Coturnix japonica: one gene and its partner. The protein of the gene in region 1 purifies or fractionates together with the protein of each later gene. This does not show direct contact. Links are inferred from orthologs where the notes say so. Each region holds a gene or a part of one and is shown on either strand. Other genes may lie near its edges. The genes, in order: RYK and ADGRA3.

Region 1 (3,815 bases):
AAATGTAGTGGCTCACACTGCTCTTTTTGCACAGGCTGGTTGTTCAATGTGATATTTCAATGATAATGAGGAGAGTAAGTATATATGTGGGTTGATTTTGCTGATTTATTAGTCTGGCTTGTATTATTTGTAATTTTCTACACGGCTCAGGAGGCTGAATTTGGCCTTGAAGAATTTTGTTGCTGGCAAGGATGCAGGACAGAAGAAACCCACATTCACCATCAGGTCTCGTGGCTAGTAGTAGTTTGTGAAGGAAGTGAAAGTAGTTAAAAGAAAACTGTTAACGCTACACTGGATTTAGAAGCTGCTTTTCTAAGAATTATTACAGTTAAGACCTTGCTTAAAAGACAGAATTGTATTAAAAGGAGTAGCAGCGTCTCAAGGAAACATTTTAAGATGAAAATAAGGTGAAATAACCCCTCTCCCATCATTCAAAATTGACTGTTATCCTTTTACAAGTAGACATCCTCAAATGTCCCACCTTGGTAAACATCATGCAGAAGAAAAGTTATCTCTTACTGAAGATGAAGCTAAATGGGTATATAGAGTTCATGGATGTAATGCCTGACAATCAGACTTATGGAAATGTGGATTTTCCAAGTTCCAAGCAACAACAGAACTCACTGAAAACTTCCTACTACGCTTTCACTAGAAAATGCAGTTTCTTAAAAATGTTTCATGGAAATTTTAAACCATATAAAGTTTGTTTCAAGTTTCTGTGGGGTTTTTTATGTTGACACTACAGGAAGGTGTTTATAAACAATGCAGGGGGAGGTTATGCAGTCTGGAAGGAGGAGAGGAAATAGCCCTGGTAGAACTCCTAAATTATTTCTGCATTAATAGTACGCCCCTAAACCTCCTGCCACTGCCCCCACAATAACACCTTCTTTTTTTTCCTTTTAAATCCTCCTTAGTGTCTCCTCAGCTACTTGGAGTCTTTGTGTGCTGCAATCTGTAACACAAAGCTTTTACCTGATATTGAATTACTTTCAGTTAGTGTGTTTTGGTATTGAGAAGATTTTGGTCAAATTACAACTCTCTGAAACAAGAGATTTCTGTCCCTGCCTTACAGGAATCTGCTGCCTATCACTCATGTTTGTATAGAAGAAGGAGAGAAACCAATGGTGCTGCTGCCGTATATGAACTGGGGGAACCTTAAACTATTCTTGCGACAGTGCAAGCTGGTAGAGGCCAACAATCCTCAGGTAAGCTCTGAAATCTGTCACTTCCTGCCTATTCAGCTTTTACTCAGAAGCCCTGGTTTGTCATCTGTATGTATACCTTAAAAGAAGTAGCTGCACTATTCATCCTGTCCTATGACAATGAGAGAACTGACAAGCAGGTCCTTAGGAAGCAGTAATTTTGATTCATACAAGGAAAACATTCTTGGCTGCCTTTATTATCTCTGTTGAGAGGCCGTTCAGCTGAGTTAAACTCTCAGTCAGGGTAGGAGCTGGTATATATCGGCACATCTAAAAAAGTAGAGGAAATGATACATGGTAGTGGATTCAAGTTACAGTACACAGGGAAAAGTTGTGTACAGGAAAGAGTCATATTAAATGTTTTTTTGCAGGATAGACGATCTCTTAGTGCATGGTAGTTTGTTGTTTCATAATAAGCATAAAGCAGTTCTGTTAAATATATGACGTACTGCTGTATATTTGCTTTACAGTAAAACAAATGTATTTATTTACCTTGATGATGGAAGTGGTTTCTGAGAATTGGTTTGTTTTCCTGCTGTTGGTTCTCTTCAGGTTTTGTAACACTTTACCGTGTTTTCCATAGAACTTCATGTGTTTCACAAGAAGTGAAAAGGAATAAAATAATTAGATGAGCATTAAGTTTTAAATATGCCCTTTCAGCAAAATGATTTTAACAAATTGGAGAAGCTGGAAGGAAATCTGACATGTTCAGCCATGGATTTGTCTGTATTTTAGAACCGTTCTTCTTGCTGGGATTGCTTCATCTTTCCTTTTCTTCAGCTTTACCTTGGTTTGTCTCTTGTCTTTGAATTAAATTCTAAATGAATTCTGGTTTGCTGAGGTGAACGTTTGCCCATCACGTGCCAAATTTGAAACTCTCAGGGTTACCTCCCTCTGTTAATTTACAAAGCCAATAAACTATGATAAATATGATCTTCCAACGTTGATTTATCTGCTTTACTACTTAATCTGGGTTATAAAACTCTATTCAGCACACAAATATCCCTTTCCAAGAATTCAGAAATGGCATTTGTAATCTGTGTTACGTCAAATAGGAGTTGCCTCTCAGTGGTATCGCCATGCTTCCTACTGTACCGAAGTCTGGAATGTTTGGTGTTGTACTTATTCAAAGATGAACATCTATGGAAGTACCAAAACCAAACTTTTGAGTTCTCTGAAATAATGCATTGTTCTTATTTAGAAGCCAGTGTATTATTGTTAACAGCTTCTTAATTTAGCTTAGTATTTGGCTTTATTTTATTCCCCAGTCTTGATACTCTTGTATCTACCTACATACTGAAGCTTCAGAAATACTGTAGAAATGGAAGAGAGAAACCAGGATATAGATGTAAGGCAAGAGTTTTATGTAACTGTGACACTGGTTTCCAAACAAAACGAAATGAGAGTGTGGTGTGCAGGTACAAGTGACCAGTTTTTGCCTGCATTCATTGCCAATCCAAGGAAAAGCTACGTAACAGTGAGAAAACTGCAGATGCAAATACCTGCCCCTGCCATGTCAACTAGGAAAAAAAGGCTAAGAAGTTAGAATAAGGAATCTCCATAACTTTTCAGAAGATGGTAGTGTATTATCAGCTGCTAGAAAATCACGGGCTACTAAAGGTTAAGAGAAGGGAAGGGCCATTAGGCTACAAATTAAAAATTAGCCTGTTCTGTATTGATTGTTGTTCTATACTCTTGCAGGCAATTTCCCAGCAGGATCTTGTACATATGGCTATCCAGATTGCCTGTGGAATGAGTTATTTGGCCAGACGGGAGGTCATTCACAAAGACCTGGCTGCTAGAAACTGTGTGTAAGTACCAAACAAGACAGAGTCATTGTGCAAACAGTGTTATGTCAATAACTGGGGCTAAGATGGATTTCCTTTAACCAACCTGATCTCTGCTTCGAAACCAATACCACCTTTTTTCCCCCTTATGTTTTGTGCAAGTGGTTCCTTTAGTGTAACTTTCATCTAGGTGTATATATAGTAGAACAGAATGCTTGGTTTTTAAGAATGCAGAACATCCTATTCTGGAAGATTTGTATTGGATTTTGATTTCCCTTATTTTTTGAAGATGCTCACCTAGCCTAAGTGTTTTCCTTTAAATTTTGATGGTAAATTGAAGCTTCTTTGGCAATTTGCTAATGGACAGATTTTGCACCGGGAAGCAGAAAGACCTACCCCATAGCCATCCCTTGTGCTTTTGAATTGATGCCACTGAGCCCTTTTAGCAAAATCCATTATGGCTCTTGCAGTGTGTAAGGATGCTCAGTTTGATATAGTTTCTTGAAGGTTCTTTTCATCTGTTCTTGTTGCTTTTTCTCTGTGGTGAATGTATTAAAGAAGTGATACCACCGAAGGCGAAGATCACAAGCAGTGCTCCAGGGAAGCTGCCTTGTGACAGCCTCTCATTTCAGTGCAGCAAATGAATTTACTTGTGCCCTTCCTGGGCAAGGTTGAGCATTCTGACAACTTTACTCCCTGCCCTTACAGGGCAAAGTTCAGCTTTGTTTTAGTTGCCATATGTGTGATCCTGAGTGATGTCAATATAATTCAACTCATAGTACATCTGGCACTCCTTCTCCATGGCAAATGCAGGCAGGAACTGAGC
Region 2 (4,501 bases), on another chromosome or scaffold:
TTACAGTTTCAAAATAATCTTCTCAAATCTTTAGCACAGAATGGAACTGTAGTATGTGCACTAAGGAAAAAAGAGGGTAAAAGCACAAGCCTCCAAGAATAATCTTTTGCTTAAAACCTTCAAGGTTTTGATAGAGCATATCTTATTTTAAAACTCCTGGTGCTAGACCAAAAGTGATGGGATTCTATGATGCAAAGCGTTGATCCAATAGAATTTCACCTTGCAGCTTGAAATTGTTTAAAACAAAGGCATAAGCTGAAGAATTAACTTTATACTGCTGAGCTATATGCTAAACAGATATATATATTCTTATAGTTGGCACAATAGCAACATAAGAGCTGAATATTATCCATTTTATATTTTGTGCCCTGTCCTAATTTAACTCAAGTGTAATTTTGGTGTGGCATTTCAATTCAGATCAGGTCAGTCTTGCTGTGTGACTCCGTGACTAATGCTAATGCTCAAGAAGCCATAGCCTGTGCATGCTGGTCAACAACTTCATTAAGTGGGACAGGCTTCATTTCATGTGAGAGGCCAGACAAATGAGAAAACACAAAGGTAGGTAAAGTGCATGGTAGCTAAAGAGTATCTACAACATGCCAAAGCAATGGTGATACTGTTATTGAAGCCTTGTTCCACCTGCCCCATCCACAGTTGCGATTCTTTGCCTGTATCTTTTATTAGGCTGCATTTAAAATAAGGCTGCAGAGGTCAGAGGTGTCCCAAGTTACTCAAAGAAACTGTAAAACTGTTAAAGATTTCGTTAGCTTCATTTTGGCAGCTGTTATGGCCAACATAGAGTACTGTATTTCTTTGGCATAGCGGGTATTCTGAAGGATGCTACACAAACTGCATTGCTGCACAAGGAGAACATGGGCCACGAAGCACCACCGTCCCGCAGAGAGCTGGGGACACGAAGGCGGACAGAAACGGAGTAATCGCCCGGGCAGCAAACTACACCGTGCACACAGAGCATCCACCCCGGCCATTTCAGCCCCATTTCACGAGGCCGCAGCCATCACCTCCTCCTCCATGGAGCGGCTCCGCTCCGCCGTGCCCCCTCAGCCCGCGACGCGCAGGCGCAATGAGGACGGCCACGGCGGCGGCGCTTGCGCAGCGCGGCCGGGGCCCATCGGGCGCTCAAGCCGCGGGCTTCTCCCAGCGGCGGAAGGCGGCGCTGCTGCCGCTGCGCGGGGCTCCCGGCCCCGACACAAAGACGAGGGCGGGTACGGCGGTGGCAGCTCCGGCCCGCCACCCCCCGGCACCACATGGCGGCGGAGCTGCGGCCGCGCCTAGCGCCGCCCCCGCGGAGCTAAGCGAGGGCCCGCGAGCCGCGCTCCCTCCTCGCTCCTCTCCTCATCCGGCACCTCCGGGAGGAACGGGGCCGGGCCCCGAGCGCCATGCTGCCCCCGTTCCGTCGCGCTCCGTGCCGCCCACTTCGCTCCCGTGCCCGCCGCCCTGCGCGCCTCCTGGCCTCGCTCCTTCTGCTGGCGGCCCTGAGGGGCGGCGGCACCGCGCTGCCCCCGGGCTGTAAGTACGACGGGCGCCCCAAAAGCTCCGGCAAAGCGGCGGCTGGCGGCCCGCTGGAAGTAAAGGTGGTGTGCAGCAACCTGGAGCTCGCTCACGTCCTGCCTCCCGAGGCGCTGCCCAACCGGACGGTCACGCTGTGAGTACGGTACCGGGGGTGGTGGTTTTGGGATGGAGGGGGGAAGGGAAGCGGTTTGTAAAGCGCTCTGCGGGGTGGTCCCTTCTCACCGTGCATCGTCCCCGTGCTCCCAGCTCCGACCTGACTTCGGCTTACGTTTAGGCGTGCTGTTCCTACGTGGAGCTCATCCATTTGAATAACAAGTTTCAAGCAGGATGTGCAGCTTTTTCCAAACTAAGTAACGTGTTGCTGCTCTTCACAGGGAGGGTTTATGAGTTGTTTTTCTTTTCTTCCTGAGACACTAACCGATGCTGTGCAGTAACACTTTCATCAGTGATGGCCCGAAAACTTGTGATCTTATTTTAGGGAGCCTTTACTACTATGGGAGATCCAAGTGTGATTGAGTCACATGAAGGAAAGTTAATGGAAAGTGACTATAGCATAGGGTCTGGCTTAATATGCTTACTTGTTTGCCTGGAATGAGTGTCTCCAGCAATGAGACATCCACCACATCTCTGGGCAGCCCTTTAACACTGTCTCGCCACCCTCATTGTGAGCAACATTTTCTTTATACCCAATCTAAATCTCTCCTCTTTTCGTTTGAAACCATTTCCCCATGTCCCATCACAACAGACCCTGCTGAAGTGTCTGTACCTTTCTTTCTCGTAGGTTCCCTTTAGATACTGAAAAGTGTCAGGTCCCTTCAGAGCCTTCTCCAGGCTGAACGGCCCCAGATCTCCCAGGCTGTTCTCATAGGAGAGGTGTTCCATCCCTTGGATCATTTTTGTGGCCCTCCTCTAGACATGCTCTAAATGAATGTATTTTTGTTCTGAGAACAACAGTTTGACTGTTGCCTTTGCAAACTTTGACAGCACTTAAGCCTGATGGAGGGGCTTCTTTGAGAGGTTAGAGTGTACCCCAGTAAGGGCCTGTCAGTGGAAAGGGGAAGACCAAAAAAGAGGGGCCTGTGTTGTTGCCCTCAGCTTGTCAGTATGCAGGGGGTCGGAATATTTCTCAACGATCTGTCAGAAATGACCAGAAATATTCACATGTGAAGTTCCTGAAGTATAAAGGAAAGCAAAAAGTGAAAGGTGACAGCTCTTTGATCAACGAATTGATTTTGGCTTTTGTTAGCTGTAAGTGCCATGCAGCTGATTAGCTGTTAAAAATACAGTATTATCCACACACACGCACACACGCACGAAGAAAAGAGAAGGAAAAAAAAGTATGTGTTAGTCTGGGTGATACGCTGAAGTTGACAGTGGGGGTCCTTTGATACGAAAAACTTGGAGTCACAGCCTTGATTGCTATGAAAGACAAGCAGATATCAAATATAGCATCCTTGCTGTGAATGGACCTTTGTTCATAACTGCAGTGACAGAAGAATTTGGAAGAATTCATTTCATTTTGATTCTTCATACTCCTTTGTTATCTAGAGCATATCTTCATACAGTAATTAGTTGCTTTCATTTCTAACCACCCCTTGAAGTGCATGACTACTTCTGAAACAGATCTTCCCTTCGGTACTCCTAACTTTTTAAATGACTTAACCAGAAAACACGTTGTTTATTACTGTTTTCTCTAGTGAGTATCATAGCGGTGTTGATAGAGTCAATATGAATGCACACTTTGAAATATTACTTAAATTTCAGACAAAGACTATTAAACTGATGCGTTTGATTTTTCTGAGTGAACACGGTGCTTGTTGTGTTTTGGAATCTTTCAGGTTTCCTCAGGTCTAACTTTCCATATCTCTGAGATCCTTTTACTGAGTCATCATTAACCTGGTTAGAAGATGTTGGTGATTTATGAGTTGGGTTGCCATGTGCCATTATGTGCAATTTCATTAACATGTTCTTTAATAGAGGCTAAGTTATTTTGGAAAAAGATTAGATAACCATTCACTTTTTTTGTTGGTTTTTTTTTCTTTCCAAGCTGCTTTTGAACTGCAGTAGTTGGTGGGGAGTGGAAAGTTTTCTGATTAGAGTCAAGCTGCCCTGAATTATCTTGAATCTTGATTCTTGTGGGATTCTTCTATTAAGATAAGACCTACTTCTATTATAGCTTTTTGGATTAGTGGATCACTACAGAGATAAGCAGCTGAAAATAGATCACTGTTGTGTAAATCAGCTATGTTTTAATTCAGTTAATTTTGTTAGGAAATGGCTGGCTTTTGATTGCTGCAGAACTTTACTTTGCTCTAGTAACTTAGGTTACTACTGGTTACACCTACTAAGAATCTGTAGTTACTATTCAGGAGAAAAAAACCCTAACAATTTCAATGAATAAAGTATAAAGTAAGTTTGCTTTTTGGTTGAAGGAGGAAAACAAACACTGAAATAAGTGCTTTAAAGTACAGAGAGATGTGTACAGGAGAATAAGTAATGTTTAGGATTTAGGACTGTAAATTGAGATTCTTTTACGTTCTGATTAGAATTAGCTGGTGCTTTACTAAGCAGTTACTCACATTCATCTTAAAATATGACCTTTAGATACGGCCAAGGAAGGGACTTGTAGCCTTATATAATAAAAAGTGATTGGGATGCAAATGAAGGGTGTACCTACATGAACATTCACAGATTGCTTTGACCTTTGTAGTTTAACCGGCCAGATGAGATGTTTTTGGTGTGGAGATAATATAACTGGATGAATATAACTTCATTCTTTGTCTACTATGTTTCAGTAGATACTGAAGTCACTGCCATGATTCATGTTTAAGTAAGGAGTAGGAGCATGTTATATACCTCTTGCAGTCGAAGTTTGAGATAAGATAACCACTGCTGCCGCTTCATTTATGCAAGCTCAACTGATGATTTCACAACTTTTTCTGTTGAACAAAGTGCTATCCTACTGAAG

Evidence for each region.
Region 2: the proteins of RYK (region 1) and ADGRA3 purify together in Homo sapiens (affinity purification with mass spectrometry; 3 studies listed by BioGRID and IntAct, with this or other methods). This does not show direct contact. The link is inferred for Coturnix japonica from reciprocal best matches to the Homo sapiens genes RYK and ADGRA3.

What each region holds. Positions count from the first base shown.
Region 1 is NC_029524.1:3,431,525-3,435,339, forward strand, and holds part of RYK (tyrosine-protein kinase RYK), read left to right. Parts: intron 1-1,072; coding exon 1,073-1,205; intron 1,206-2,903; coding exon 2,904-3,013; intron 3,014-3,815. UniProt on the Homo sapiens protein: May be a coreceptor along with FZD8 of Wnt proteins, such as WNT1, WNT3, WNT3A and WNT5A. Involved in neuron differentiation, axon guidance, corpus callosum establishment and neurite outgrowth.
Region 2 is NC_029519.1:67,404,697-67,409,197, forward strand, and holds the start of ADGRA3 (adhesion G protein-coupled receptor A3), read left to right. Parts: upstream 1-1,400; coding exon 1,401-1,666; intron 1,667-4,501. UniProt on the Homo sapiens protein: Orphan receptor that may have a role in planar cell polarity pathway.